2 linked regions of the Anolis sagrei genome follow. The protein of the gene in region 1 binds, or shares a complex with, the protein of each later gene. Links are inferred from orthologs where the notes say so. Each region holds a gene or a part of one and is shown on either strand. Other genes may lie near its edges.

What was found.
Region 2: the proteins of OPRK1 (region 1) and PDYN are in contact, whole or in part, in a cryo-EM structure (PDB 8F7W), measured with the Homo sapiens proteins. The link is inferred for Anolis sagrei from reciprocal best matches to the Homo sapiens genes OPRK1 and PDYN. Residues at the interface, in NP_000903.2 of Homo sapiens: Thr111, Gln115, Trp124, Val134, Ile135, Asp138, Tyr139, Met142, Lys200, Glu209, Cys210, Asp216, Tyr219, Lys227, Val230, Phe293, Ile294, Glu297, His304, Ala308, Leu309, Tyr312, Tyr313, Ile316, Tyr320; in NP_001177821.1 of Homo sapiens: Tyr207, Gly208, Gly209, Phe210, Leu211, Arg212, Arg213, Ile214.

The regions. Positions count from the first base shown.
Region 1 is NC_090024.1:50,892,498-50,908,920, reverse strand, and holds the start of OPRK1 (kappa-type opioid receptor), read right to left. Parts: upstream 8,383-16,423; 5' UTR 7,997-8,382; intron 7,337-7,996; 5' UTR 7,284-7,336; coding exon 7,021-7,283; intron 1-7,020. UniProt on the Homo sapiens protein: G-protein coupled opioid receptor that functions as a receptor for endogenous alpha-neoendorphins and dynorphins, but has low affinity for beta-endorphins.
Region 2 is NC_090024.1:239,523,702-239,540,057, forward strand, and holds PDYN (proenkephalin-B), read left to right. Parts: upstream 1-7,882; 5' UTR 7,883-7,895; coding exon 7,896-8,024; intron 8,025-9,236; coding exon 9,237-9,893; 3' UTR 9,894-10,534; downstream 10,535-16,356.

The sequences.
Region 1 (16,423 bases):
CCACCTCCCAAGCAGTTGTTCTACTCTGAACTCAAGAACAGAAAACGGAATGTTGGTGGACAGGAAAAGAGATTTAAAGATGGGCTCAAAGCCAACCTTAAAAACTCTGGCATAGACACTGAGAACTGGGAAGCCCTGGCCCTTGAGCACTCCAGCTGGAGATCAGCTGTGACCAGCAGTGCTGTGGAGTTTGAAGAGGCACGAATGGAGGGTGAAAGAGAGAAATGTGTCAAGAGGAAGGCGCATCAAGCCAACCCCAACCGAGACCACCTTCCACATGGAAACCAATGCCCTCACTGCGGAAGAAGATGCAGATCAAGAATAGGGCTCCACAGTCACCTACAGTCACCTACAGACTGACAAGCATACTAATCCTGGAAGACTATCCTACTCAGTCAACGAGGGATCACCTAAGTAAAATAAGTAAAAAAGAACCTGTGTCCATTCATATTACACAGTTATAGCTCTATAATTCTACTATAACGGCCATGGCTGCATTCTAGAAAAAAAATGGTTTTTCTTGTTGATTTTTAGATATTCAAATCCTCTGGCTGAGAATTGTAAATATTCCAGCATATTGACATGGCAGAAGAGTGGAATCATATCACTATAATTATGTGGTGTGAATGGGCTCCCTTTCCCATGCAAGCACTTCATGAGATGAGGCGATCAGCTGATCAGGTGGTGCAGAGTCAACTTTTCATATTTTGAAACAAGCAAGCAGTAGTCATGTAAGAAAAGTTATTTTTCAGAGTATTTGGTTTCTGCCCAAATAACTGTCAAAAGCAACTTTTAAAGCCAAATTTTAACTTGGAAAATAATTCAAGCCAGCAAAGGTAATTTTACAAACTGGCTATCTCAGCGCCTGATGGCAACGAGCTATTTTTCCATCCCGGGGGGCACTGGCACTAGTATACTAAAGAAATGAATTCAAAATTACTGAATGAATCACACATTGTCAGCAATACCCATTACCAGTTGAAAACAGCCTCATAATGGCACTCTATAACATTGTAGTTCTTATTCCACTTCTGGGTGAAATTTGAGTCTATCCCAAAAATCTTAAATAAGTTGAAAACATTTCCAATTTAGTCCCTACTGTGAAAATAGGGACTGAAATGGGAAAGCTTTTTCTTCATTTATATGATTTCTGGAATCAGAAATGCATCGGAAAACAACTCTTATATCTTGAGAAAGTTGGAGAAGTTCTCCATCTTTGTTGCCATTATAGAAATTAGCTTTATGGAGATCCAGCTTTTTTGTCTTATTCAAAATGAGAAGAGTAAGTTAATATTCCTGTTCTCACTTTCTTAATCCTACTTATGCCCAAAACTAAAAACATGACTTCACTCCTTCTTTAGCAACTGAGCAGAACTGGAAGTACAGAACAGAACACAATTACCATACTGGCACCACTCTTTCAGCCAGACTTAAGATCTCTGCCCTGGAGTGTGGTGGAGGCTCCTTCTTTGGAAGCTTTTTAGCAGAGGCTGGATGGCCATCTTTAAGGGGTGCTTTGAATGCTATATTCCTGCTTCTTAGCAGGGGGTTGGACTGAATGGCCCATGAGGTTTCTTCCAACTTTATGATTTTGTGATTCTAGGATTCTATGATCTCATCAGTCAAAAGCAGGCCATCTCTTCCCATTCAAATACTGGTAAGTTTATGTTGGTTAAAATTGTTCTTTATTTTAAATATTCTGAAGCCCCTGGTAGTGGAATGGGTTAAACTATTGTGTTGGCAAGACTGCTGACCAACAGGGGAGAGTGGGTTGAGCTCCTGCTCTCAGCTCCAGCTTCCAAGCAGGGACATGAGAGAAGCCTCCCACAAGGATGGTAAAAGATCAGGACGTCCCCTGGGCAACGTCCTTGCAGATGGCCAATTCTCTCACACCAGCAGTTTCTCAAGTCACTCCTGACACAATTTTCTTTAATATTGTATTGTTCTTTTCTTTCTTTCCTTCCTTTTGCACTACAAACAGGATATGTACAGTGTGCACAGGAATTTGTCCATAATTTTAAAAGACTATTGTTTGCTCCCCTCAACAATCTGAGGAACCATGAATTGGCCTTCTGTTTAAAACGTTTGATGATCCCTATCCTAGAGTCTAGTACCAAAAATAGATGATTCTAGTGTAATAGTAGTAAAGAAAGCAAAACTAAATATTGGAGAAATTAAGAAATTAGTTAGGATAAAAATGAAGCAAAAGAACAATTTATCAAATGTTGTGAGGCCAAAAATTTATGTCTTGCAAATGCATTATTCAGATGACTGTATGTGGCCATCTGAATGTCATCAGATGGCCACTACATAAATTAAACTGCCTAATTAGGTGTAAATGGAAAAGTTTCATTCTCTCTGCAAAAACAAGGCTAAAGCAGATTAGATCCCCCCCCCATTTTTATTATTATTGCTGTAAACACAAGTAGAGTGATACAAATCTCAAAAATAATTCCGCAAGGTTAAATAGAACAAACAAATAATGATATTCCACTTACATTTTCTCTAGAGCAGATTATGCACAAAACCAAACATCTAAAAATTAGACCATAGCTAAAATTTACTAAATCACTTTGCCAAAATGTAACCTGAAGAATCTACCTGGAGAATATAAAGTTAAGAATAGATTTGTGCTATTAAGCCAAACAGACTATAGAAAAGAAGAACCTTGGACCATAATCAGGGACCCTGTTAGGGTCCAAAGAAAAGCAATAGAGCTGGTTCAAATGGTGCAGATGGAATCCATACAAATTGCAACAAAACTCTGGCAACAAACATGGAAAACAAAACACTGTCATACAGAATGGAAATGAGCAACACATATCCAATTCCCAAGAAAGGGAACACCAGTGAGTGAATCAATCATCATAGCATTATTCTTCCATGCAAGTAAAGTAATACTCAGAATTTTACAGCAAAGATTTTTACCATACATAGAGAAATGCCAGATATTCAAGTAGGATTCAGAAAAGCAAGAGGAACCAGGAATTACTGTATGTACTCAAATATAACCCTAGTTTTTCAGCCCCCTTTTAGGCTGAAAATGCTCTCCTTGGCTTATACTCACGTGAAGGTTATTTATTATTTTACCCTGTTATTAGTATTATTTTATTACATTTATTATTTTACTCTAATTTATTATTATTATTACATTTACATTATTTTACTCTATTTTTATTTTTATTACATTCATTATTTTACTCTATTATTACATTTATTATTTTAATCCATTTTTATTATCACATTTATTATTTTACTCTCTTAATTATGATTGGAAGGATGCGTAAGCAGATTTACATTGAAGAAAGTTAGAATAATGGTTTGATCCAAGTTGGACAGTCTTATCTTAAATTACAGTTTTATGTAAATATTCATAAACATTTATTTATTTATTTATTTATTTATTTATTTGGGATGCTTCTACCCCGCCCTTCTCAACCCCCTAGGGGGGACATTTAACCTACTGATGCCTCAGTTCATGTAATTTTGTTGATATCTATTTTTATTTTGAAATTTACTGGTAGCTGCTGCATTTCCTGCTCTCGATTCAAACTCGAGTCAATATGTTTTCCTTTTTTTATTTTGGGGTAAAATTAAATGCTCTGGCTTATACTCGGGTATATACGGTATATTGGAAACATATGTCAGGTAACAAAGAACACCATCTTAATCTAGTGCTTAATGATTCCTTAGCAGGTTCTCTGAGCTGCAAATTATCAAATAACATGTTCCAGAAAGTCCTAGATGGGATTTGGAATCCTGGGAAAGATGTTATACTGTTTGGCCTACATCAAGCCACATGTATAACTTAAATATTTGATTCACAGGATATTAACAATTCAGAAGAAATCTAAATATGTTTTGCCATTAGAAAGAAAAGTGAAAACCTGGTTATTTGAACAGGCATTTGAATAGGCAGTGCAATGAATTTTAGGAAATGGAACTACGAATGACAAGTTTGGATCATGATTCTAGTTATGAGATGCCAATGAATGAATGTTTATAGTTGTTTAATTGCTTAGTCTGCTATTGTGTTGATTGTTTTTAAATACCTTGTTATGCTGCATTGAATTTTTGCTATTTTGTTGTTAACCACTATGAGTCGCCTAAGGGCTGAGAATAGTAAAGTAAATAAAGTGAAGTAAGTAAATAAATAAATAAATAAAGATCTTTAAATTAACTTAAATGTCTATTGTTGTTCCCATAGGTTGACATTCCCTTCTTCCCTTCTTCTATCTCTAAGCTATTCTGGGACTGGTGGAAAAGTAGGAGGAATGGCAGAAACATCTGGCTGTCCCTATAGCCAGATGCAGAATGATTATATCATTCACTGAGACCTCCAAAGGAAATATTGACATTGAGATTGAAAGGCACTGTGTCTTTAGAGGACTGTGATGGGATTGAAATGTTGTGCTGTTGTCTATACAACATTGTAGAGAACTCTTCTTCACCATTTGTGTATTTCTTCTCTATCACCCATCTGGCTTGTTGGGAACTGATAAACGAAATTTGATCATGTTTTACATTCAATTGCAATCTATAATGGAGGCCAGCAAAGGTTTCAGTCACAAGATGAAAAGGAATGAAAATTCCCTACAGTGAAATCCATAAAAGAAACTGTTTTAAAATTAGAGGAGAAATTAGTACAATACAGTACCTATTTGCTCTAAGCATGCTTGTACTGGAGGTCTGCAATCAAGGTTTATGAGGATTTTTAAAAATTTAAAACAGTTGTTTGTTACTCTGGTTTTGACCTGCGAAGCAGTTCAGAAGAAAAGATGTTTCACCCTCCTCTCACCACATATTTATCTTGATCTAAACTATCCCTTCCTGAAGCTTTGATGATCTCTGCAGGATTGGCCAGGAGGTCCTAATGTCATTCCACAAAAGAGCCATCAGCAGTCCTGGAGAGTTACTCATGGCCTTTTAGATCAGGAAATTGCCTGATGGACATGATGCCCCTCTCCCTCACTTAGCAAAAAGAAAAACCAATTCCATATTTGCCTTAAAATTGAAAGGGGCAAAATCTAATTACATATTCCTCCTATTGCATCTGGTTTTGTATGCCCAATATCCATCATCTATACTGGAAATAATCTTGTGAATTTGTTCAAAGCCTTTATACAAAGCATAAACCTTCTAAAAAGAATGATTTTGTGAAATCTAACAAGAATCATGGATTTAAACTAACCATGCACACATTTCATACACACATATGTAACACGATAACAAAGTGTCAAAGAATATAAGGTCAATACAATACAAGATAAGATATATTAATTGATATGAGTAGAGCAGCAGTGGCTAATGGACACTAGGGCTGATAGGATAGAGGAGTCATCACTGACAAAGCAAAGAACCAATGGTATCTCATTTTCTATGTCCTCATAAGCTGTAAATATCATTTGTACCACTCTGGAGATAGGAAAGACAGTTGAGGGAATAAATGGGCAATGCTCAATTTGCCTAAATAGAAGGATGATCCAGGGCAGTGCTGGGGACCACTAGGATGAATGAGAGATCATTGTGATACACTTCTCAGTCCTTCCCTTCCACTTAGAGCAAATTAGTCATTTTAATTAGTATATTCAATTTGTATTGAAACCGGGAAGGTTGGGAAGGTGAGATATGCACCTACGCTACTTTCACCCAAATGACTGTATGCATATATGCTTGAGCAACAATCATGTATGGGACAGGTGAATAAAATAGGCTTGAGTTCAATTAAATCTTTCTTGCACAGGATCTGATCTTAATGAACCAAACATCTCATTTGTGAACACACACACAAAGAAAATATGTTTTTGAAAACAATATGCAGATTTGAGGTGTGTATATATTATATAGAGGGGGGGGGGAGAGAGAGAGAGAGAGACAAAGGATGGGAAGAAAAAGAGATATGTGATCGAGTGTGTTGTATCTGCAATAGTGGGAATAATAATAAAACATTAACCACTTCTTATCCCTGGGGGGAGCTCTACTCATATATTTCTGCAGAGTTTTCCAACTTCTCTGTCTCATCCTCCAAGCTATACAACTTACAACTTTGAAGTCAGTTTTCCAATTCAGTTTTATTTGCCTTATTTATACCCCACCTTTCTCTACCCCGGGGGGACTCAATCCACAAGTTAGTTTTCTCTAACTCTATTCTCACAAGCCAAAGGAGACAGCCTCTAACTTCTACTTAGGCCACTGCACATGTGTTGAGATGGCAGTTTCTCCCACAGTAATACTAAATCTGAATTTTCAAGGAATGTGTCTAAGAGAATAAATTAATATACAGGTTTTTTTTTCTCCCACTAACAGTTTACTCATTGGGGTTATGGCATCTGTAAGTGTGATTCTTCTAGACATTGTATTGTTTGGATCTGGCAGAAAAGTATTACTCAGATAAAATTTTTACTAGAAAAATAACACCCAAGACATCAAGAACTTTTCCCTTCATTAATTTATCCTTCAGCTCCTTTTTCTTCACAGTTTACATGGTTTTCCTTGAGAATTGGAAAAACTGTATTTTTTCGTTCACATAAGACCATAAATGATATGGGTCCACAGACATGTAGCCCGGGGGGGGGCTTGAGGGGCTTCAGCCCCCCCCCCGAAATTCTCATGGTGGTTTGTGAAAAGGCCTTACTGGTGCATTATTTAAACAGTTATGTTTATTCATATCATGATCTGATCACCATACTCAATATATCCCATATGCATGGGGGTATTGGGATAACGATACAAAAGATTTGCTAGGGTAAACCCTCTTTCACTCAGTCTCAGCCCCCCCCCCCGAAACAAACTCACCCCCCCCCCCCCGAATCGAAATCCTGGCTACGGGCCTGGGGTCAGGGAATCAAGATTTCTCATTGACATTATCATTTCCCCAAGCATCTTTCAAATCCCTTGAGCTGGCTTTTGGGCAACTCTCACGATTGCTAAGGAGAAGGGACCAAACAGTGCAAGTGTAACAATAGATGCTACCTGAAAAGACCTAAAGAACTCACCAGACACCTCAATAATATTGCTTACCTTATGATGACAAACATCACTAGAGAGTTGCCAACCAAGCCCACCACAAAGACCACAGAGTAGACTGCAGTGATGATGATGGGAATAGCTGGGGAGATGTTGGTGTGGTTCTGCTGTAGGTCTTCATACATGCCACTACCATTGTTGCCATAGTCTGCCAAGTCCAAAAGCCTACTTTTGCTGCTCGGAGTTGGAAGTGAGCATGGTCCAGGGGAGCAAGTAGAGCTTTGTTCCTCTCGGAAAATGTGCACTGGGGGATCCATGGAGAATTCCACTTCAAACTCAAGAAGGGAAGAGACAGGAACAGCCAATAACACTGGAAAGAGAAGGAGATGATAATGAAAGTGCTATTCATACAGAAGTCCCTAAACAGAAGTTCCTTCAGTTATAATTCCCGAAGTCCTAAACACCTTTAAAAACACTACAAGTGAAGAGAAATAGAAGTGAAATAAGATAACACACAGTGCTCAGAAACAATTTTTTAAACCACCATGAATTCAGAAACATGACTCTCTAACAAAAAAAGGAAGGCTAATTCACATTTCTGTTTTGTCAAAGATTTGTTTTAATTTTATTTCTCACCTTGTAGGACTCGTTGAGGAAAAGCCTTACACTCTTGATAATAGGTTAATGAAGACAGGTTTGAAACTCCTTTGGACTTTTAAAATACTGTGCTGGAGCATCAAAATGTTAATGAGTTGCCCAGATAAGTTTCGTTCATTTTCCATCAAGCAACATGTTTTAAAGATCAAAATACAGTTCTTTCTGATCTCTTCTCTTTCATCTCATCATTTACCTGTTCAAACAATATAAGGGATCTTTCCCAACTCAGTAACATAAGAAGAGGACACAAGCTACAGTTGTGTTTTAAATGTAGGTGGAATACAAATATTACATTTCAATAATAGGTCAGCAATAAAGATTTTAAAACACAAGAGTAAAGAAAAATTAAGAAACAAAAGAGTAGCAACATTACCTGTTTAAACTGAAAGAGGGAAAAAGTATGGTCTCCCTGAGAAAAATCCTCATATGCTGAGCAGCACCCTCTCCCTTTCTGTCTCTGATTCACTTTTGTAACTTAGAATCTGAAGGATTTGTTTGCACTCCTGGAAATGAAGAACAGCTGTATCTCCGAAGGATTAGCTCTGGACCGACAGCAGCAGCAGCAACAGTCCCTTGTAGCCTCCACTTTACCTTTGCAGCAAGCAGACTCCCTCACACACTCTGTCTCCAACTCTCACTCTGCCAGCTTTGTCAGTCCGTTGATACTCCAGCAGCCCCTGCACACATTCTCTTCTCAGCTCACATGACTTTTTCTCTAGACACCAAAAGGCAGGCAAAGTATGAGGCAAGAGGGAGACAGCTTGTTCTGTGCACCTGAAAGATTTGTGCCACCCTCTACATTGCTTTCACATCCATATCTTAATCCTTCCCCAGATTTTAAGGTTTTTTTTTAGCAATTAGATCCCTTCAACCTATTACTGCTGTGCTGGTTCCCACATCATTAGTTATATGAGGTGACAAAGAGAAATTTCAGATCCAGCATATTCACCTGGCCACATGATATGTTCTGAAAGAATTGTTCTCTTAGGTGCAGACACTATGTCCCCTGTTCTGTTCAGTCTGTATTAAGGAAATAAAAGTGTCCTCCTTAAAATGCAGCAGAATGAATGAGGCAGATTCACACTAATGCCCCTATAACTGAAGTTATAATACTAAAATGTGACAAAAACATTGTGATATGTAATGGATCCCTAAATCCATTACATATCATAATGCTTTTGTCACATTTTAGTATTATAACTTCAGTATGTTTGTGAAAAGAACAAAACATCTTGTCACTCTTTGCCTAGTTTTACCTCTCTATTAAACTTTCCAAGTAGTCTAAGATGCTTGGAAGTATATTACCATAAACTGACAGTTATCAGACTTTTTTTGTAATGTTTGCCCAGACAAGACAAAGGTAAAATTGTTTGAACCTATCGAGTCTCATTATTTGAATCTACAGGTTGTGTTGCTGCCTGGAGGAAGAGGAGGAGGAATTGGAGTAGCAATAAAATCTTGTCATGGGTCTCTGCTAAAAAATAAGATCATGGGAAATTAGCATCGGCAAAAAGATTAGCAAGAGACAAGATGAAGTGGTTGGAGATGAAGTGGTTGGAGGGTTCAAATTCCCAACTAGCCACGAAAACCCATTATATGGCCTTAGAAAACTCATGTTCTCTCAGGCCCCTTCTACACTACCCTTTATATCATAGGATCTGATGCCAGATGTGATGAATTGCCTACCTTTGAGGCCAGGGGAAAGCTCAGAAAGTAGGCCCAGGATTTCGGGAGCCATTTTATGAGAATGGTGCAAGGAGGCAGGCATCTTAGATAACCCATTTCCTAGAGGGGACAGAGCTTAGGAGCAGCCTGGAGGGAAATGTGAAGAGCCTTTGTGATTGGCTAGGAGAAAGTGGGCAGAGCTTAGCCAGAGTGGAGAAAAAATTGCCTGTAAGGGTGCGTTTTCAAATCTGACAGCTCAGTTAGCGTCTGGTGTTTGAAGAGTTGAGTCAGGGTTTGTCTGGAGTTTTTAGGAATTATAGTCAGAGGGAAGTCTGATAGTTTCTGAGGGAGTGAAGAGTCGTTTTTGGAACTAAGCATTGAACTGTTTTTTAAAGTAACCATAGGCATCTACTCATTATCGCAACCGTTAAGCTTAAGTGCCTGTATTGTTGAAGTTCTCACAAATAAACAACTTTGTTCTTTGTTAAACAACAACTGACTCAAGAGTGCCTCTATGTGAAATAGTTCCATAGCAGTAAGGGAAACAGAATTTTAAGATTGGTGGCAGCGTTTACTTAAAAGAAACTCAGTGTTATTTTACCTCAAAGTTCAGAGCTCTGAGTGTGAATCTAGCACAATACAGCTTACTTAAAATCTCTTGCCAAAACAGAAACTATAAATTACTTTTAGGTGTGGTGGTAGCTAGTGATCACAGAACATTAACTAAGAAAATAATGTGTTTGTGGAAAAATCTCAACAGCTTCCAAACACTTAGTTGAATTTATATACTAATCCTTAACAATTGGTGATACAGTAGTGGGATGAATAAAGGCCTCCTGCCAGAAAGTCATTTGAGTTTGGAGTCGAAGTTAATTAATCAATCTTTATTTGATTAAACGATGTGGTTGTCTTTTACATTTTTGGTGGTACAGCATTGGAATTGTTATAATAAAATTCCCCATTTGTTTCACACCAGATTTTTTGTTCTTCCCAGATTATATGACAGTGGAGACACATATAATCTATTTCAAAGCAGATAACCTGGGATCAGATCCTGGGATACAGGACAGTGTAGAAGGGGTCTCAGATGGACCTTAATGACACATTCACTCTGAATTCTTGCCAAACATTTGGATTTTGATTTGGAGTAAACTGTAAGGTTAACAACAGCTAAAATGCCAGCCCTACTTTTATGCATTATGAGGTGGCACCTCAACTTCCTGATGTTGGGAAATTGTGGCAAATTTCTTTTCTGCTGTATTCTCAAGAAGTTCCTTTTCCTAGGACTGCTAAAGCAAACCATTTGAAAGACAATGAGCCACATCTTTGAGAAATCCCTCTGGGAGAAGTCCAATCCTGAAATACATAATTGTTCAGTAACTCTCCATTTAGTATATCAACTATGCCAAGGGCACAGACTGAACCAGAGAGAAGAGAAAGGACTGCACAAAGTGCAGAAAATTTAATTATGCAAACATGCCCCAAAGGCAAGTTTAAACCTAATGGGCCTATAGAACGAGGAAATTTGCAGTGTAGACACATCATCCATATTAGCTTACATGACAGATTCCTTAATCTTGTTCTTAATACTTTACATTGTATAGCTTCTAAAACAGCTGTTAATTTATGAGTCAGTATAATTGAGCATTATATTTTCACATTTTGGTCTAAATATACATGGTATTCCTACTAATTTTTATAGTACAATGCTGCTTGGATACAATGTTGGCCTTATCACATGGGGGAACTCACCCCCCCCCCCAAGCACTATTTCACCAGCCTCCGTGGTGGAACAGCAGGGATGAGAGGTGACTCTGTCACACAGGGAAATCATCGACGAAGCGGTGTGGATTCATGCTGACTCCCGTGTTACAAGGGAAGTGCTGTATGATGCTTCCACTCCAGTTTTGGATGGACTTCCAGCAGAAGTCCAAGGACATTGTATGAGGGGCAGCATGCTCATCCATTGTTGGACTGGCAGGGAAGCATCCTAGGATGCTAAAAAAGCCCCATGTGATGAGATCATATGTCACCATTTGTAAGTTGAAAATCCTTGTAGAAAGAGATCTCATGATATACAAGTTGTGCTTAACTGAATGCTATCTCTGCACATACCTTCATGATGGAGTAAGCACTGATGTATCTTGTAGTTTAAAATATGATGAGACAAAGTGAAATTTTGGCTAAGAATAGATTTACCTCTATACAGCCTAGACTGGTCCTCCATGATGCTATATTTCAACCAAGTCCTCTAGAAGACAGGTTGGTTTTAGGATTGATTATAGGAAGCTACGTTCACCTGTTTTGCATGGGCAGACTTATGTCAAACAGGACAGGCATACTCAGCAGTTGAGTAAGACAAGGCCAGGGCTGATGTTCTTATTAATTTTGGGTCTGCACCCCATGTGCTCCCAGTAAGTTTTCACAGGATACTATTGTGTGCAGCTATTTTGTGCTTGGTGTTCAAGCAGTGTTTCCTATATGCTAGTGTTCAATCTAAGATATTTAGGATGGAAACAATGTTCAAGCTCTTGACCTTCCCAGGTGACTTTCAATTTCCTGTTGGCTTCATGGCTGCGTAAACTGGATTTCAATTGTTTCAAAGTCTTTTGCTTGTGTTGTTAAGCCAAGATCATCAGCATATATAAAGCTCTTTGTGAGTGGGGTTTGTGGCTGATCGTTAGTAAAGATATTAAACAAGGTCGGTGCAAGAATGCTGCCTTGGGATAAGTCATTCTTTTGCCTCCTCCATCTACTTTTCCTGTCTTCTATGTTCTATGATAAATGAGGGGGACATGGGATGATCAGCTGTGGCATAGTTTCACATGCTACAACTATTCTATGTTGAGCCTGACTGGATTCTGGACATTGGTGGATGGATGAATGATGCTCAGAGATTGTAGTAGTAGGTTAACACATTTAGGTGATCTCTGATCAGCTAACAAAATCTAATTGGGCCAAGCTCAGAATTACAATACAGCAAAGTAAAATACAACAAATCTAATTGAATTGCATTTACATTAGTAATGGAAATGAATTCCTAGGTTTGTGGTAAATTAACATTTATATTTATTATTATTTATACCTGCATTTAAGGCCTTCCCAGAACAAAGCAGGGAATGCCAGTCATGATTATTACAGATTACTTGCTTTCGTGCATAGATCCTTGCAAAAGTTTCAGGATTAAGAGCTTCAAAAATCAGTTTCATAGGACAGATGAGGATCTTCTTTGTGGGCACTTCTTAGAAAATAGGAAGAGAACCTGGATGCAAAGAGGATCACCTCCTTCTACTAACCTTACTACTTTTATGTTTAAAATCATTTAACCTTGGAAATTACTTATGCTGTTCTAAAATAAGTACTGCCTCACACTTATGTAATACATTATTTAATTCTAAAATTGTGCTAATGTTGAAATTCCAAATTAAGTCAATTTAAAAATAAAGTTTTTTTATTAGAAAAACATTCCATCTTAATTAGCTTTAGCTAGTTAGTTCCTAACTAACTAGCTAACTAACTAGAGTTAGTTCCTAACTCTAATGAAGCTTGTAGTTCAAGCCACAATTAGTCTTAAAAATTGAAAGGTTTTGCTAGAACTGATGCCCATCAATCAATTTTCTAATTTTTCCAGCCCTCTGTAGCTTGTCTTCAACCTGATGAGTTGGTGTCTCTGTCCTGGCCTTTCTGAGTTAGCATACACTCAACAGGCACAGATCCTCTTTTACAGTCCCAGTTAACAACAACAGTATCTCAAACAGAATCGTAAATTGTTCCCCTTTTTGAAAGACTTAAACATACAATATATGCACTGCAGTCTTTAAACATTGGTTTGAATCCCTTTGCCACAGGTAATGACAAGCAGCTTTTCGGCTACAGTAGGAGGAATGTCTATTTGTCCCAACTTTATCAGATAAAATGTAATAGAAGGACTGCCATATGCCAAGTCGAAATATTTTGTTTTGTATGTAATAGACTCAGTACCCTGGAAACCAATTAATAATAATAATAATAATAATAATAATAATAATACCCCACCACCATCTCCCCAAAGGGGATTCAGGGCGACTAATATGAGGCCAAGCCCAGAATTACAATACAGCAAAGTAAAATACAACGAATAAGTAATAAACATCAAAGTAAAATACAAAAAATAGCAAAATGTACAATAAACAAATGCAAAAAAATAAAATGGTGGAGGAATAAAAGCACAATGGATGGACCAAATGCACAGAAATAAAATAGATAAAACCCTGGGTGAGATAAGTAAATGGAGTAGTGTGTGTCTGAGGGGAGAAATCAGAAGGGATGAAACAATCGGGTTGACCTTCACTAAGCGGTGAGAGAAAGTGCATCAGGAGGACAGACCTGTATTGGGACACACATGGTATGGGGGTATGTGTTCATTCCACTATGGACTAATGCCTGCTCCCAGAAGAAAAGAAAAAAATAGATCAAAAAGTTCTACTCCCAACCTTATTTCATTTTAATGCATACACTTGTAATGTACATGAATTACATGCAGACTAAAGATATTCATGCCCTGGTGATCAGGCATGCCCAAAACAGTAGCTGGACACAACTACTTCTCTGAATATGCCACATGTTCAGGACAAAGCTGCAGATACCATTTCCCAGCGCAGTGATCTGTAGCAATGTCAGCTAGATTTTGCCAGGTTGAAAAGGTGGGGTTTGGGCAAACAAGTTTGATCTTTACAGTAAATGTGAACCTCTAGCATCTACAAGAGCATACATACATAGCTGGATACCATAACTGCTGTATGCAATGCCAACCCCAGGTCTCTTGGCATGTTAAATTTAGTAAAGTTAAATTTAGTGAAGTATACTTTGATATTCTCACCTGAACAAAGCTGAAAAGCAGAAAAATATCCAAATGATCATTTCTCAGATACACTATCAGTTCTTGGGAAACAATATTCGTACTTAAACAACAGATGGTGCTTTTACAAATACAAAAATCTTTGTCTCAAGGGGTTGGCAAACTAACAAATGATGCAGAGGAGGCAGATCGTTGTTATGTGTATAAGAAGACAGAGAAGAAAGAGATGCAGCCAGCCATCCATAGCCTGGCTCTTTTAATACCTCATAGAGCAACAAAGAAAGAAAAGTCTCAGTAATGCAAGGAAATGTTTTCAGACCTTCATGTAGTTTTTGTTGCTAAGGGAACACATTTTCTTTCCTATATAGATTTACAATGCCTTTGGGAAATCTGACTGTCATGTAATTCACAGGGGGAAAGGACATACAAGATTTTTTTAAAAAACTTTTTATTTTGAATGGGTGAGATGTATCAAATCTGTTGATGTGACATTCATATAATTAGATGCAGTGCATTGCAAATGCTGCATACAGGGTTTAAAGTTCAGTTGCAAAGGGATCTGTCATGTAGGCTGTAAATTACGACACTACAGTAATGGGTAACTACTACTCTTTCCAGCTAGCCTTTTATTTTGTAATAAATCATGGTCTTACAGTTCTTATTCCCCCAAAAGCAGAAAAATATCCAAAGTTTATCAGGACATAAATGATCAGAACTCGCAAAATATCTGGAGTACCTACTCAAATCTTGAGAGGCAGGAGTTAAATAAAATCTTCCAAATAGGTGATAAATATAAGGTTTATTGTAAGGGAAAATGACTATAGGGTACTAACTACACTCCACCCTTGGTGTGAACATTCAGCAGAAGTGTGAACAGACGCCATACATATAGAAATATGCATTCTCAAGCCTTCCCTGGCAGTGTGCATGTATGTATGTGTGTGTGTGTGTACATATGTAGAGGGGGGAGGGAGAAAGAGAGACAGAGGCTGGATCTACATTTCCATTTCCATATAAAATCCAGATTATCTGCTTATAACTCCATTATATGGCAGTATAGACTCATATAATCAGGTTCATAGCAGATAATATGGATTACCCACTTTGATAATCTGGACTACATGGCAGTGTAGACCTAGCCAGAGATAGAGAGAGAGACAAAAAGATAGAGATAAAGATACATACACAGCTTGAAAAAGTTACATTTTTGGGTGAAAACTCATCCAAAATTACTGGTTGACACATTAAAGAAATTGTAACCCAAAAACTAACTTATCGATTCTCTGGCTAATAGTTTAAATGCACTCTGTGTGTGTGTGTGTGAGTGAGTCAGGAGTGACTTGAGAAACTGCAAGTCATTTCTGGTGTGAGAGAACTGGCCATCTGCAAGGACGTTGCCCAGGGGATGCCCGGATGTTTAATATTTTACCACCTTTCTCTCATGTCCCCGCATGGGGAGCTGGAACTGACAGAGGGAGCTCAATCTGCTCCCCCCCCCCCCCAGATTTTTGTCGGTCAGCAAGCCTGCTGGCACAAGGGTTTTACCGAGGGCCCCACCATTTATGATGAAGTTACTCCAGTTCTCAAAAGCAGATATCCGCTTCATTTTTGTTAGTTAAACAAGCATAAATACTTGAATACTGAAGTTCTCCCTTTGATAGCTGCTTCTTCAAGGATTACATCAAGGCCCCTTCTACACTGCCAAATAATCCAGATTATCAAAGCACATAATTCACATTATCTGTTTTGAACATAATTATATGAGTCTATGGAGCCCCCGGTGGCGCAGTGGGTAAAAGCACTGAGCTGCTGAGCTTGCTGATCGAAAGGTTGCAGGTTCGATTCCGGGGAGCGGCGTGAGCTTCCGCTGTCAGCCCTAGCTTCTGCCAACCTAGCAGTTCGAAAACATGCAAATGTGAGTAGATCAATAGGTACCCCTCCGGCGGGAAGGTAACGGCGCTCCATGCAGTCATGCCGGCCACATGACCTTGGAAGTGTCTACGGACAACGCTGGCTCTTTGGCTTAGAAATGGAGATGAGCACCACACCCCAGAGTCAGACATGACTGGACTTAATGTCAGGGGACTACCTTTACCTTTTTATATGAGTCTATACTGACATATAATCCAGTTCAAAACAGATAATCTACATTTTCTATGGCAGTCTATATGGGGCCCAAGAGCAGTGCCCCTTTTAAACTTCAAGATGAGAACTCCTTCTATTGAAAGAAGGAAATGAGAGGAAAAGGGTATCTAAGGTATTGAGTGAGAGCAGAGCTGGCCCAAGACATTTTTCTAT
Region 2 (16,356 bases), about 190 Mb from region 1:
GCCTTGTAAATTAGTTAAATTAGCCTCCCCGTATAAGTGGTACCTAAATTTCCTACTTGACAGATGCAACTGTCTTTTGGGCTGCAAAGGTCAACAGGAAGCTACACAAATTGGTTGGAAGCTCACTCTGACCCGGGCTGGCTTCGAATTCATGACCTTTCAGTCAGTGATCTTAATGCAGCTGAATCCCAGCCAGCTGCACCACAGTCCTGGTGTGCTGAGAAGAGACATGATGAGGACCATGTTTCAAGAGGTATGGGGAAGTCATAGGGAGGAGGGAGCAAGCTTGTTTTCTGCTGCCCTGGAGACTAGGATGCAGAACAATGGTTTCTAATTACAGGAAAGGAGATTCCACCTGAATATTTAGGAAGAATTCCTAACTGTGAGAGCTGTTCAGCAGTGGAACTCTCTGCCCTGGAGTGTGGTGGAGGCTCCTTCTTTGGAGGGTTTGAAACAGAGGCTGGATGTCCATCTGTCAAGTGTGCTTTGAATGCGATTTTCCTGCTTCTTGGCAGAAAGGGGTTGGACTGGATGGCCCATGAGGTTTCTTCCAACTCAATGATTCTATGATGCACCTGCTCTTCTTGGCAGAGAAGGCCGAAGACCTTGTAAAACTGCAACTCCTATGATTCCTTAACACTGAAGTAGCTTCAGAAGAGGCCCTCAGGTGCATCTATATCAAATAAATAATGCAGTTTCATAGAATCATAGAATCAAAGAGTTGGAAGAGACCTCATGGGCCATCCAGTCCAACCCCATTCTGCCAAGAAGCAGGAATATTGCATTCAAATCACCCCTGACAGATGGCCATCCAGCCTCTGTTTAAAAGCTTCCAAAGAAGGAGCCTCCACCACACTCCGGGGCAGAGAGTTCCACTGCTGAACAGCTCTCACAGTCAGGAAGTTCTTCCTCATGTTCAGATGGAATCTCCTCTCTTGTAGTTTGAAGCCATTGTTCCGCGTCCTGGTCTCCAAGGAAGCAGAAAACAAGCTTGCTCCCTCCTCCCTGTGGCTTCCTCTCACATATTTATACATGGCTATCATATCTCCTCTCAGCCTTCCCTTCTTCAGGCTAAACATGCCCAGCTCCTTAAGCCGCTCCTCATAGGGCTTGTTCTCCAGACCTTTGATCATTTTAGTTGCCCTCCTCTGGACACATTCCAGCTTTGACCCCACATTAACTGCCTTGGCTCAATGCTATGGAATTCTGGGATTTATAGTTTTGTGAAGCACCTGCACTCATTGGAAGAGAAGGCTGAAGACCTTGTAAAACTGCAACTCCCATGATTCCTTAACATTGAAATAGCTTCAGAAGAGGACCTCAGGTGCATCTATATCAAAGCAACAATGCAGTTTGATCCCACGTTAACTGCCTTGGCTCAATGTTATGGAATTTTTTGAAGCACCTGCACTCTTTGGCAGAGAAGCCTGAAGACTTTGTAAAACTGCAACTCCCATGATTCCTTAACTCTGAACCATGGCGGTCAAAGCAGTGTCGAACTGCATTCATTCTACAGTGTAGCTCTGTATCCAAAGAGAAGAACTGTGGTCTGCATAGGGTTTGGTGAGTTGGGCTTGAGGAAAGAGTTCAGAGAGTTAACCATTGCAATATATTGGGGGTGTTGTGTGGTTTCTGGGCTGTATGGTTGTGTTCTAGCAGCATTTTCTCCTGACATTTCACCTGCATCTGTGGCTAGCATCTTCAGAGGATGCAATATATTTGCTGGCTTGATCGCTTACCACTGTTTCTGGCTGTTTGCATGTAATAATTAAAAGACAGAAGTAGCAGAATTAGTCACACATCGAACCCACGGATCAACACAGACACTTGTCCAGAATGGCACCTAAGCACAAAATGAACTTAGGAAAATCACAAAGTTTGCAGACATTAGCCTATAAATCTGGGGTGCAGGGAGAAGATCTCAGATTAATTGAAAGGTGCTCTGAGAACATTGCATTGAAATGCAACTAAACTGAAACATCTGTGGCATTTCCATTTCGGAGGAAATATAACAGCAGAGAGCTCTTAACGATGAGGAGAAAACAAAGAAAGCACATTTCTAGCCCCCCTACCTTCATCTATCATAATAGGAACATTCAAGGTTGCCTAAAGAAATGGATTGGCAGTGGATTCACTAGAGTAGTTTTTCATACGAAGGTAAATGAATGATGTGCGGGGGGTCATAAACTCCAGGTGATCTCAAAGAGAATTCAGCACATCCACAGAAGGTTATTCCATTGCCAGCTGTGGACTGAAATGCTAGAGCATGTAGATTTGAGTCTTCCAGGACTGTCACAGAACTTGAGATTGCGGCAAGAAAAACAACAAACGAAAGTAGAAACACATGCATAGATATCAAGGGTATGCTCTTGAGATTCCCCCTATTCCAGTGTTTCTCAAGCTGAGGGTCGAGACTCCTGGTGAGTGGTGAGGGGGTGTCAGAGGGGTTGCCAAAGACCATCAGAAAAAACAGTATTTTCTGTTGTTCATGCGGGTTCTGTGTGGGAAATTTAGCCCAATTCTCTCATTGGTGGGGTTCACAATGCTCTTTGATTGTAGGTGAACTATAAATCCCAGCAACTATAAATAAAAAATAATGGTTTTATTTATGTTTTATATTGTAATGTTGATTATTTTTAATGGTACTTTTATGAATGCATGACATTGAATGGTGCCAATCTGTAACCTGCCTTGAGTTGCCGTATGGTTGAGAAAGAACTCCCAAATGTCAAGGAACATTTTCCACAAACTCCACCAGTATTTACATTTCAGCATCTTGAGTATTGTGGGTGCTAGAAACAATATCATACGAAAGCTGACTGGCACAACCTGGGGATCACAAGCAGACACTGTGAAGACATCTGCCCTTGTGCTATGCTACTCTGCTGCTGAGTGCGCAGTGTGGAACACATCTCACCACGCTAAAACAGTAGATGTGGCCCTTAATGAGACATGCCGCATTATCACGGGGTGTCTGTGCCCTACACCACTGGAGAAATTACACTGCATAGCCGGTATTGCACCACCTGACATCCGCCGGGAAGTAGCAGCCAATAGTGAAAGGACCAAGGCAGACATATCCCCAGCTCATCCCATGTTTGGGTATCAGCCAGCACGTCAACGACTTAAATCAAGAAATAGTTTTCTAAGATCTACAGAGACACTCGCTGGAACACCCCAGCCAGTGAGAGTCCAAAAGTGGCAGGCTCAAACCCAGAACCTCGATCAATGGCTGATAACAAATGAGAGACTCCCCCCTGGGCACACAGAGGACTGGGCAACTTGGAAGGCGCTGAACAGACTGCGCTCTGGCACCACGAGATGCAGAGCCAACCTCAAGAAATGGGGCTACAAAGTGGAGTCCACGACATGCGAGTGTGGAGAAGAGCAAACCCCTGACCACCTACTGCAATGCAACCTGAGCCCTGCCACATGCACAATGGAGGACCTTCTTGCAGCAACACCAGATGCACTCCAAGTGGCCAGATACTGGTCAACCAACTACCAAACTCACAAATTTTGTATTTTTTCTGTTTGTTTGCTTTGTTCTGTTAGAAATGTAATATAACTGACTGGTTGCCCTGACACGACAAAAAAGAAAAAGAAATAAAAGCATCTTGAGTATTCGTGCCAAGTTTGGTCCAGATCCATCATTATTTGAATCCACAGTGCTCTCTGGATGTAGGTGAACTACAACTCCAAAACTTACAGTCAATGCCCATCGAACACTTCCAGTATTTTCTGTTGGTCATGGGAGTTCTGTGTGCCAAGTTTGGTTCAATTCCATCGTTGATGAAGTTCAGAATGCTTTTTGACTGTAGGTGAACTATAAATCCCAGCAATGACAACTCCCAAATGACAAAATCAACCCCCCAACGCCACCCATATTCAAATTTGGGCCTTTCAGGTATTTGTGCCAAATTTGGTCCAGTGAATGAAAATACAACCTGCATATTAGATATTTACTTTATGATTCATAACAGTGGCAAAATTACCTTTATGAAGTAGCAATGAAAATAATGTTATGGTTGGGGGTCACCACAACATGAGGGACTGAGGGGTTGCGGTATTAAGAAAGTTGAGAACCACTGCCCTATTCACCTTGAGGGAAAGAGAAAGTCCAGAGGCAGTGTGGTGTAGTGCTTTGAGTGTTCAACAAATACTCTGGAGCAAAGGGTTTGTAACTCTGCTTTGCCATGAGACAGAGGGACAGAGCAGCAGGGACTCCTTTCCATCTTGACTTCTTGGTCACCTGCTGTTTTATATGCTGCACCAATATGCTCACTATACAATGGACATTGTTAGATGCAAGGCATGAATAACGGCACAATACAGATATATGTAAAATAATGCAAATATTCTGTGGTTTTTCACCCAATGTGTCAATAAGCAAGGCCAACCCAAATATCTTGTCACCCAGATCTCTCATGAGAATGGCATTTGGCAGTTAATACCCATTTTTTGCAGCAACAGCCATAAATCTGCCAGGCATTAAGATACACTCCAGTAGCCCCATCCTACTTAAGTGCAAGCAAATACCAACATGGTTAAAGCACGGCAACAGCCATCATCCAGTGTGAAAAATGCACAGCTAATATAAGCATTACATACATACAACAAATGCAGAATACATGGCTGAGAGTTGGTTAGTGTAAGATTCTGGCGATGGGCATGGCTGTGCAAACGTCTTGTGGTGTTAGGACCCTGTGCAAACTACTCCTGTGCCTATTTACGCCAAGCTAAAGGCTGTAGAAATGTGGACCATCTGTCATTCATTGTTGCCTTTCCCTTTTCAATAGTACGACAGTTGATGGCAGACAAGAAATCTATGCTTAATGGGCTGTGAGGCTGTTCTTGCTCCAAGCGATATTGGAATATGTTTTAAATCAGACAGGGCTAAAGTGGACTTGGCATAAGAAGTGCACAGACTCATGGCTTGTTTTTTCCTTTTAGTGAGAAAGAACTGCCTGTTTGAGCAAAGATGTGTATGTAGGATGCTTAACCTATATATGTTTGTGTGTGTAATGTTTGTTTGTGGGATTAACATAACTCAAAAACCACTGGAAGGATTGACACCAAATTTGGACACAATACACCTATCAGACCAACAAGTGGAGCCTCTGGTGGCACAGTGGGTTAAACCCACCCCTGTGTTGGCAGGACTGAAGACTGACAGGTCGCAGGTTCGAATCTGGGGAGAGTGCGGATGAGCTCCCTCTATCAGCTCCAGCTCCCCATGTGGGGACATAACAGAAGCCTCCCACAAGGATGGTAAAAACATCAAAACATCCGGGCGTCCCCTGGGCAACGTCTTTGCAGACGGCCAATTCTCTCACACCAGAAGCGACTTGCAGTTTCTCAAGTCGCTCCTGACACGACAAAAAACAAAAACAAAAAACCAACAAGTTACCATCACTCATAAAAACAGCAGAAGGGACTTAAAAAGCCAAAAAAGCAAAAAGAGGCTACAGCGCATGTGCAAAAATGACTTCCCCGACAAACAAAACACAAAATAGCATATCCACACTCTCTTCTGGACCACAGCTCCCAGCATCCCCTAGACCAGGCCCTTTAGGAGAGAAGGATGATCCAAATGCACTGCTTCCAAGCTGCAAGCTTTCTTCTCCTTGGATTTCTTTGAGAGCATCCCAATCCCTGCATATTTCCAATTTCCTATTCCTGGACTGAAACTCCCAGCAATCCTACAGATAGATAGATACATTTGATAGAGATAGAAAATCAAGTTGATAAATTGATCAGGAGGACTACTGGGAGTTGCAGTCCAAGAATAAGTAGAGAAGAGAGAAAAGGGAGAAAGAGGAAGTGATAGAAAAAGGGGGGAAGGAAGGGAATCAAAAACATCAAAACATCCGGGCATCCCCTGGGCAACGTCTTTGCAAACAGCCAATTCTCTCACAAGGTAGAAAAAGGGGGGAAGGAAGGGAAGAGGAAGAGAAGGAAGGAAGGAAGGAGACAACAAAAGAAAAGAAAAGAAGGAAGGACTGAAAGAGGGAAGGAAGGAAGGAAGGAAGGAAGGAAGGAAGGAAGGAAGGAAGGAAGGAAGGAAGGAAGGAAGGAAGGACAGAAAGAAAGGAGGAAAGAAAGAGGGAGGGAAGGTTGGCCACAGTAACATGTGGCGGGTACAGCTAGTATATATATATATTTGTCCAGCTCAAAAATATCCCTCTCTGAAACTGTTCTAAATTTGCATGGGGAAGGATATGAATTATTGCCAGTGGTTCTGAAATGACTTCTACTAGTTCCTTGGATACTCTTGGATGTCGTTCATCTGCCTTGAATTCATTTAGAGTAGCCAGATATTTCAGGACCACATCTTTCTTTACCCATTCTGGGCTGCATTTCCCCTTGTCTGCTTCGTATTGCTCAGGTTGAACACCAATCTCTTTTTGGGAGAAGACTGAGGTGTAGAAGGTGGCTGCATTTCCCCTATTACCTTGTTTGCTCCGTATTGCTCAGGTTGAACACCAAACTCTTTTTGGGAGAAGACTGAGGTGTAGAAAGTGTTGAGTAGCTCTGTATTTTCCCTATCCCCTGTTAGTATTTCACCACCTTCTTCGCACCTTCTTCAAAAATGCATTTGATTTCTCTTAGTTTCCCCCTTTCTTTGTATCATAAACTCCAAGACCACATAGTCACTCCCACCTAAGAATCCTACTACTTCCACTCCATTGATCAGATCCTCAGAGTTAGTTAGGATCAGATCCACAATAGTGGATCCCCTTGTTGCTTCTTCCACCTTCTGGACAATAAAACTGTCATCAGGGCAAGTGAGGAATTTGTTGGACTTTGTACTCTTGGCAGAGTTTGTTTCCCCACAAATAGTTTAAATCTCCTTTACTACTCTATCTCTTCTTTCTGCTTGTTTGGTCATCTGGTCAAGGAAGGCTTCATCCAGTTTTCAGTCTGTCCTTAAGGTATGTAGTAGACCCCCACAACTACATCTTTTTCGGTCCTTATTCCCTTAATTTCTTATCCAGATGCTCTCAATCTGATTGTCAGGATTGAAACCTTGCATCTCTTCACAGGTGTAAACATCCTTAACATATAATGTTACCGCTCCCCATCTCCTATTTGGTCTATTGCTCTGAAATTAGTTATACCCCTCCATTACTACATTCCAATGATAGAACTCATTGCACCATTTTTCAGTGATGGCTATTACATCATAAGTGTTTTGTTGTGCTAAGAGTTCAAGTTCATCTTGTTTGCTTCCCATTCTCCGTGTATTAGCATGGAGACATCTAAATCCATGGGACAGTCTCCCTCACTGCTTATTTTATCTTGGCAAAAAAGAGCCACATGCAAGTCAAATCAATGGGAACACTTTAGAACAACTGAGATAATTCAGACAGTGTGAGCAATCTATAAGAGCAAGTAAAGTGTACTAGTTTGAATGCTGGACTACGACTCTGGAGATCAGGGTTAGAATCTCTGAGCATCGACACATTGTATGACCTTGGGCAAGTCAATCTTGGCCTCAGAGGAAGGCAATAGCAAACCCCTTCTGAATGCATTTTGCCAAGAAAGATTTGGAACAGTGCCACCAGAAGTCAGAAATGACTTCAAAGCATACAACAGATGGATGGATTCTCCTGGTTCCGAACATTTTTCACTGAGAGTGAACCTGGGACCTTTTGCATGGTCTGCTATTGTGTTGTATCATTAAACTACAATGTCTCCAACCATCCAAGAAAGGCTTGGTGACTGGCTCAGTTATTACTGTGTGCTCAAACCATTATGCTACACTGGCTCTTGCTGTCTCGGAGCTGCTGGTATTTTGGATGCTTTTGGGTTGTGATTGCTTCTCCCCCAAAATAAATGGATAATCATGTCTCTCTCTCTCTTCCTTCCCCTTCAGGTGTCTATTGGGAAGAATGGTGTGGCAGCTTTTGGGACTGACCATTTGCTTCGGTCTGGCTCCTTCTGCTTTTGCAGACTGTGCTACTCAATGCTCCGCATGCGCTCTGCAGGTCCAGGATGTAGAGAAGCCCATCAAACCCTTGGTAAGTTATGGCATGGGCCATCGGTTTATTATCCCTGCCTAGCCGAGTGAATAAAATTCTGCAGATAAAGCGTGACACTTGAATTCTTATCAGGTTTGAGGCCCTGTTCAACAAAACACATTTATTGTAACTTTAATCAAGCATATCAGCCACTTCTTCGTGTGAGTTGCTTGCTAATAAACAACAGCAGCAGCAGCATCTTGGTGGATGTCTTTCGATGAAGTGGAAAAGGCTAGAGAATCGCCACCCAGAAGAAATCATATATGTGCATAACACAGGATATACACATCTATGTCATTAACAGGATTCTGGCTAAGATCTAATAATAGACAAAATCTTCCATCAGGAGATAAAACTATGATAATACCGCAACCTCTCCACAGCTGCATCTTCTTATGCTACTCTTCCCAAAACTATCTTTTAGACTATGTCGCCACTCCAGCAGAGGAACTTCCAAGGTGCAGAAGAGAAAGGGGGTGAAATATGACATATCTAGCCCTCTCTCAGTAGCAAGCCATGCAGTGACAGGATGGATTGTGCTATGAACATAAAGATGAATTAGAGTAACTACGAGGGGTATTTTTTAAGTAAGGTCCGTTTTGTTGTAGACACTAGTAGTTCGCGCGCATACCGCAACGAACGCGTGTGTCGTGTACCGGCATGCCTCGGGAACAACTGTGCTCAGTTTCCGCTCTGTAGCTAACCTGTAGGGTTCTGTTCTGTGCTTTAAAAATGTTTAAGACTATCAACTCACCATCCGCATGTGAGGTTCGCTCAGTGATACGGTTTTTGTCAGCAAGGAACCTGCCTGCTGCAGAAATTCATCGGCAGGTGAGTTGATAGTCTTAAACATTTTTAAATATATATATAAACACACAATGGACACACGTTTTGTGGATTTACCAGTATGTGTGTGATGGGAGGTTGTAGATTATGCACGCACACACATATAAACTCCAACTGTGTGTGTGTGTGTATGTATGTATGTGTATATATTCCACAACTTCCTAACACAGACATACTGGCATATCCAGGGTGTCCAATGTGTGTTTATACGTCCACACACACATAGAGATTTGAAGTATATATGGATATAAAACATCTAAACAACAAGGCTTGCATCCATTTCTATTGAACTGTCAAATCTTTTTTGACTTCTTTCTGATCCTTCTCGGAAAATTAGGAAGACCTTTCCTTGTTGTTGTCTTGCAGATCTGCTCCCTGGAGTGCCAGGGCTCCTTGCCATCCAGGGCAGAATGGGAGAAGTGCAAAGACAGCTTGTCTACCCTCATTCCTTTCTTGATGGAAGAGGAGGAGAAAGCCAAGAGACCTTTCCAGTTGGAGGAAGAGGAGGAAGCCCCCCAGGAGCCATATTCCAGTCTGGTCAAACGTTATGGTGGATTCATGAAGAAGCTGGACAAAAATAGGATCTTCTCCTTGCTGCGAGAGAATGCCCTCACCAAGGGTGGCATCAGCAAGAAGTATGGTGGGTTCTTCCGGAAGATTGGAGAGAGGGCAGCCTCTGAGCCGGCGATGGAAGACTACCCCACAGTGCTAGAGACTGGAGATCTGGCCTACAATGGAGCAGAGTCAGATACAGGGTCTCTCAAGGATGAGACGAAACGTTATGGGGGATTCCTCCGCAAATACCCCAAGAGAGGCTACGAAATGGTTTCCGCCACTGAAGATGATGAGCAAGAGCTGGAGGGCCTCCACAAACGCTACGGAGGCTTCCTGCGTAGGATCCGCCCAAAGCTCAAGTGGGACAATCAGAAGCGCTATGGAGGGTTCCTCAGGCGCCAGTTCAAGGTGACCACCCGGTCCGAGGAGGAACCCAATGCCTATTCAGGAGAGGTCTCTGACCTATAGATGCCTCCCCCTCATCTGCTGCAGAAAACCAAGTTCTTTTCCAGCTGCAATACTTCCAAGTAGGAACTGTGTGGGTCATCCATCTCAACTGCTACCCTTTCCCTTGTAAGCTCCCAATGCTCAGCCAAGCAGTGCAGGAACCCTTTGCCAATTTGATGATAGAAAGACCAGCTTGATATCATGAAGAGAAGGGGCTTTAATGAACTTGAGGGTGGAACTTTAGGGTTTGGGGCTGGGGAGGGAATCATATGCTCTCTGCATTTCATTGAACTCAAACTTCCAGCATTCCTCACTACTGAGTACACTGGGTATGGATGATGGAAGTGCAAGAGCATCTCAAATCTCTGCTTTGGGCAGATTTTGGAGAGGTTACAGTCAGTCCTCCACATTCAAGTAATGCATATAGGACTCCTATGGGAGTGGGGAAAAAAAATCTGAATTTTCCCTGAGTAAATAGATATAGAAATCTCTCGCTCCTCCAATGTGACTTGATGACCAGCTTCTTGTGGAAGTTGACCCTAGAATCGCATGGGAAGACCTACAAAAACCCAAAAAGTGTTATCTCTAGGAATGGCTTGGTCAGTGTTTCTCAACTTGGGGGTTGGGACCCCTGGAGGTCATGAGGGGGTGTCAGAGGGGTTGTTAAAGACCATTGGAAAACACTTAACATTTCTGTTAATCATGGAGATTCAGTGTGGGAAGTTTGGCCCAATTCTATTGTTGGTGGGGTTGAGAATACTCTTTGATTGTAGATGAACTATAAATCCCAGCAACTACAACTCTCAAATGTCAAGGTCTATTCTCCCCAAAATCTACCAGTGTTCATATTTGGGCATATTGAGTTATCATGTCAAATTTGATCTACAGTGCTCTCTGGATGCAGCAGGTAAATTACAACTCCAAAACTTAAGGTCAATGGCTAACCAACTCGTCCAGTATTTTCTGTTGGTCATGGCAGTTCTGTGTGCCAAGTTTGGTTCAATTCCATTGTTGGTGGAGTTCGGAATGCTCTTTGATAGTAGATTAACTATAAATCTCAGCAACTACAACTCCCAAATGACAAAATTACCCCCCCCCCCCACAACCCCATCAATATTCAAATTTGGGTGCATTGGGTATTTGTGCCAAATTTAGTAAAGTGAATGAAAATACATCCTGCAGATCAGATATTTACATTATGATTGATAACAGGAGCAAAATTACAGTTATGAAGTAGCAATGAAAATAATGTTATGGTTGAGTGTCACCACAACATGAGGAACTGTATGAAAGGGTCACAGCATTAGGGAGGTTGAGATACACTGCTCTAGTTCCTCTAATGTGACTTGATGATGTGACCTGAATGTGTGACTTGAATGTGTGACTTGATGATGTGACTTGATGATGTGACTTGAATGCAACATTCCTGCTTCTTGGCAGAATGGGGTTGGACTGGATGGCCCATGAGGTCTCTTCCAACTCTTTGATTCTATGATCAGCTTCTTGTGGAAGTTGACCTTAGAATTGCTCAGGAAGACCTACAAAAATCCAGAAAAGTGTTATCTCTAGGATTGTCTGGGTCCTTCAATGCAACCTTGTGGTCAACTTCCACTGCAACTTCCAATGCAACCCTATGGTCAACTTCCTATTCAAATCTATGACTAATGAAATCTGCAAAAGTAAAACCTGCAAATGTGGAGGGAAGACTGGAGTTTTTTTTTATTACAGTTCCCAGATTTGGAGAAGAGGGAGTGTTAAGCTGTCCAAACACAAACAAACAAACCCACACAACATTTTCTCACTCTGGGTTTAGGAATTGAGCGTCACCTCTCTGGATTTGCCCTCTAGAGACCAACCTATAACTGATAGAAATGTCACCTCAAAATGGATATCGATTTTGCCTTTATCCTTTCCCCTCCAAGAGAAGCAAAGGCATTGAATTAGTCAATAAAAATAAAAATAAAATAAAGACAGGGCATATAGGAGCAGAGCCCAACTGTATGCCCATTTACATGGGAATGAATTCCATTCATTTCAATAGGAACATACCTGTATAGAGGATGGCAGCAGATGAAACTACAGTACTTGAAAATTTGAAGGAATCAAATCTGAATAAAGAGCACTAGAGAAACATGTTGGAATAAGGTAGTCACATTCCAAATTCTCAACCAAACAAGAGAATCATAATTTTAGTGCTTTGGAGGATGGAACTTGGAGGAGGAAAGACAGGTGAATTAATTGGTCAGTATACTAAAAAGGAGAACATAGTGCCATTTTGAAAGCATTCCTTCCTTAACCCTCCCTCGATAAGCCAGTCAGTCAGTAGCCTTTATTTCGGTCAACAAACCATCAGCTAAGTCAAGTGAAAGTAGAATGATGAAATACAACAATTAACAATTAATAACTTCACATTTGGCTTATAATTAATACAAACAAGTATCACCATACCCTAGATAAAATAGTGAAGAATAGAGACTTCACACTGGCAATGAAGATCCGCATAGTAAAAGCAATGGTATTCCCTGCAGTCACCTATGGTTGTGAGAGTTGGACCATAGGGAAAGCTGAGCGAAGGAAGAGAGATGCTTTTGAGCTGTGGTGTTGGAGGAAAGTTCTGAGAGTGCCTTGGACCGCGAGAAGATCCAACCAGTCCATACTTCAGGAAATAAAGCGCGACTGCTCATTGGAGGGAAGAATAGTAGAGGCCAGGATGAATTACTTTGGCCACATAATGAGAAGACAGGAAAGCTTAGAGAAGACGATGATGCTGGGGAAAATGGAAGGAAAAAGGAAGAGGGGCCGACCAAGGGCAAGATGGATGGATGGCATCCTTGAAGGGACTGGCTTGACCTTGAAGGAGCTGGGGGTGGTGACGGCTGACAGGGAGCTCTGGCGTGGGCTGGTCCAGGAGGTCACGAAGAGTTGGAAGTGACTGAACGAATGAACAACAAACCTTGTCATTGACCAGGTGTGCAACAATAGAATCACACATGATTCTTGATCAGGTTGTATATAGAGGTCTTATTCCAAGAAACGATCAGATATCTTCAAGAACTTTGTCTCACATTGAGTATGATTTGAACTGTTGGTTTTTTCCGGTGGTTTTCAGAGCAGTAAGAAATCTCCCTTTTCTCATTTCCAATGGAAATGCACCCTTTTAGCAAAAATGAGATCTGGGTTATTGAGGTCAGCGGTTGAAGGGCTCTTTTCACCGGCCATAGATTGAAATAATCGGAAGCAGACTCTCATTCCCTCTCCTTCTCTTTCCTGCCCACCCTCTTCCCGCTTACCATGCCTCCCATTGTTATCCCTTCACTGTCTCTCAGGTACCCTGCAGAGAGCATTTCCATTCACCTGCCATAATAAGGTGTCCATCTGGAGAGCATCCCACGCAGCTTGCTTTTATTTGGGTTAAATTGCATCGCTGACCCTTGGCAATGGGGAAAATAAAGCGCATTAGCGGAGCAACGCAATAACAATGTCTCCTCATGTCTGAAGTGATCCTGAGGCAACCTGCAATTTGTCGCCTCAGCAACTGGCTGGGCTTGGATGGCCTGTCCTAATATTTGCAGGTGGGGTTGAATTTCCCCCATTGTGCCTCTTGATGTGTAAAATTCATGTATTTTTCAGGGCCTTAAGATCTTTTTCTCAAGTTGGCCTCTCCTCAGTGTGAGACAAGGCTCTTGCAGATATCTGATCATGTCTTAGTATCAAAGGATCATAGGGACAGAAGAGACCTCATGGGCCATCCAGACCTCTGTATACAACCTGTATACAATCCTGTGTGACCCTATTGTGTCAACAAGATAGCCCATTGAAAATGATCTTACTACTTATTTTGTTATGTGCAGAACCCATAACAATTGCTAAGTTGTCCAGATGAGTCTAAGGCAGGCATGGGGAAACTTGTCAGGTCTTTGTTCCAGTTTTGAAAAATCTGCTGGTTTCTTAGAAGTTGCCACTCTTTGACATTGAATTTTGAGGTCCTCCAGGACAACTTATTTGAGTGGAACTCTCTGCCCCGGAGTGTGGTGGAGGCTCCTTCTTTGGAAGCTTGTAAACAGAGGCTGGATGGCCATCTGTTAGGGGTGCTTTGAATGCAATATTCCTGCTTCTTGGCAGGGCATTGGACTGGATGGCCCACGAGGTCTCTTCCAACTCTATGACTCTATGATTCTTCAAGCCATTTGTGGCTTATGGCAACCCTAAGCAGGTTCTTCTTGGCAAGATGTGTTCAGAGGGGATTGGCCATGGCATCCTTCTGAGTTCAAGAGAGTGTAACTTACCCAGTGGATTTCAATGGCTGAGCTTACCTCCAAAACATGCTGACTAGAGTGATTGTTCAGTGCCCAACCATTACAACATGATGCCTCTCTTCCCTGCCTTATACATTAAAATTAGAACACTGTACCCTGAACACTGTATATTTCACTGTTCTACAAATTTTCAGTTTTTCTCAGTTGCGGAAATGAAATGTGCCGTTTCTTAATAAATTTAACATGCTGAATTCAAATATAATAATTAAATGTGTTAATTGGCTGTGGTTTTTATGCAACAGCTATTTCAATTTTCTCCACAATAGGTAATTCGTTAATATTATGATAATGCACCTAACCTTACTGCATGTATATAAACCGTGAATATTTACTAAATTTTAGTCAAATTATATTGCCATTAGTTTATACATGAGAAATATTTATTTAATTAGTCTATTGTTTATGTTTGTGCAGCAAGAAACTGTATTAGTAGGCCTAATGCAGTTGAAAAGTCTGAAAGTTTAAATGTCGCTTTAATCGTGACTTTAGTTTCTATCCTGTTTGCTTCTCTTGACTTTTCTTTTGTATTCAAGGAAAGGATTCCCTCTTGCAATGCTCCAGCAGTAGTCTGACAGCATTGACAGAGTCCATTGGCCTTGATATCTTTTTTCCATAGTGCTTTATTTACACACGTGCGAGGAGGCATAACTACAGTCAAAAGAACAATGTAAAACGATGTTTAATGAGACTGTCTCAGTCTTCAACTGACTGACCCTCACCGTTCAAAAGTCTGGCCTTATATAGGGCTTTCTGGCTTTTGCACACGGCACTAATACTGCGTCATCAAACTTTCTAGAATATTCTAGAATCTTCCATAGTGTAAGTCGCAACATGCATTTTTTCAACCATACGTGATCACGTGATTGCTTATATCATAAAAACTAGAGCCAATATACATTTTTAAATGTCATTTTCGTTTTCAGCACCCTAAAATCATAAAAGAACAACTATTTTCAGGCCCGCAACTTTTTCTCCGTTGAACAGTGTTATCAACATGTATTAAGTAGAAAGGCTTTCCTACTGTTTTCATTTGCTAATAGACTTATAGGAGGAAAGACACAGCCTATTTGTAGAAGTTGGCAATTGATGTAAAGAATTTGTCAGGCGTGGGAGTGGAGTAAAATGCCTCTTTCAGTGTCAATCTTTCAGAGACGTTTGTGCTCATGACAGGCCAAATATTTTACCATATCTTGGTTCCCCATGTGCTAAAATTCTCACCGGTGCTACACTCCCATCTTACTAAAATTTTGAAAAAAATATATTTCTGCATGGGCCAACTTCAGCCCTCCAGGTGTTTTGGACTTCAACTCCCACCATTCCTAACAGCCTCAGGTCTTTTCCTATTCCCCCTCAGCCGCTCAAGGGGCTTCCTTAATTCTTAATTCTTCTTCTATGAATATGTAGAAGCTCAACTTTGAAGATGTCATTTCTGTCTGTGGTTGAGGGGATTGGAATGACCCAATAAAAAAGGTTCTATATTTAGGACTAAAGATTTTTACACACTGGACATTTAGGGCTTTGTATTGTCGAAGGCTTTCATGGCCGGGATCACTGGGTTGTTGTAGGTTTTTCCGGGCTATATGGCCATGTTCTGGAGGCGATTTTCTCCTGACGTTTCGCCTGCATCTATGGCAAGCATCCTCAGAGGTAGTGAGGTCTGTTGGAAGTAGGAAAAATGGGTTTATATATCTGTGGAATGACCAGGGTAATGTTTCAGCTGATCACCTTGATTTGCATTCAATGACCTGGAAGCGCCTGGGGGGAACTCTTGTTGAGAGTGATGTTTTGTGCCTGTTTGTTACCCCTCTGTTGTTTTGCTGTTGTAATTTTTGAGGTTTTAATACTGGTAGCCAGATTTTGTTCAGCTTCATGGTTTCCTCCTTTCTGTTGAAATTGTCCACATGCTTGTGGATTTCAATGGCTTCTCTGTGTAGTCTGACATGGTGGTTGTGAGAGGAAAGGAAAGAGAGAAAGAAAGAAGAGAAAGAGGGAGGGAAGATTGGCCACAACAATGTGTGGCGGGTACAGCTAGTAATAAAATAAGGAACAGCAGAAGTGCAGGAAGATGGGGTTTCAAGGGTTTGCGGAAATACGATTTTGGAACCACACATTGGAGAATTGGCACAATTGTCCTAATGTGAGGTGCAATTTGAAAGGTGCTCAAAGTG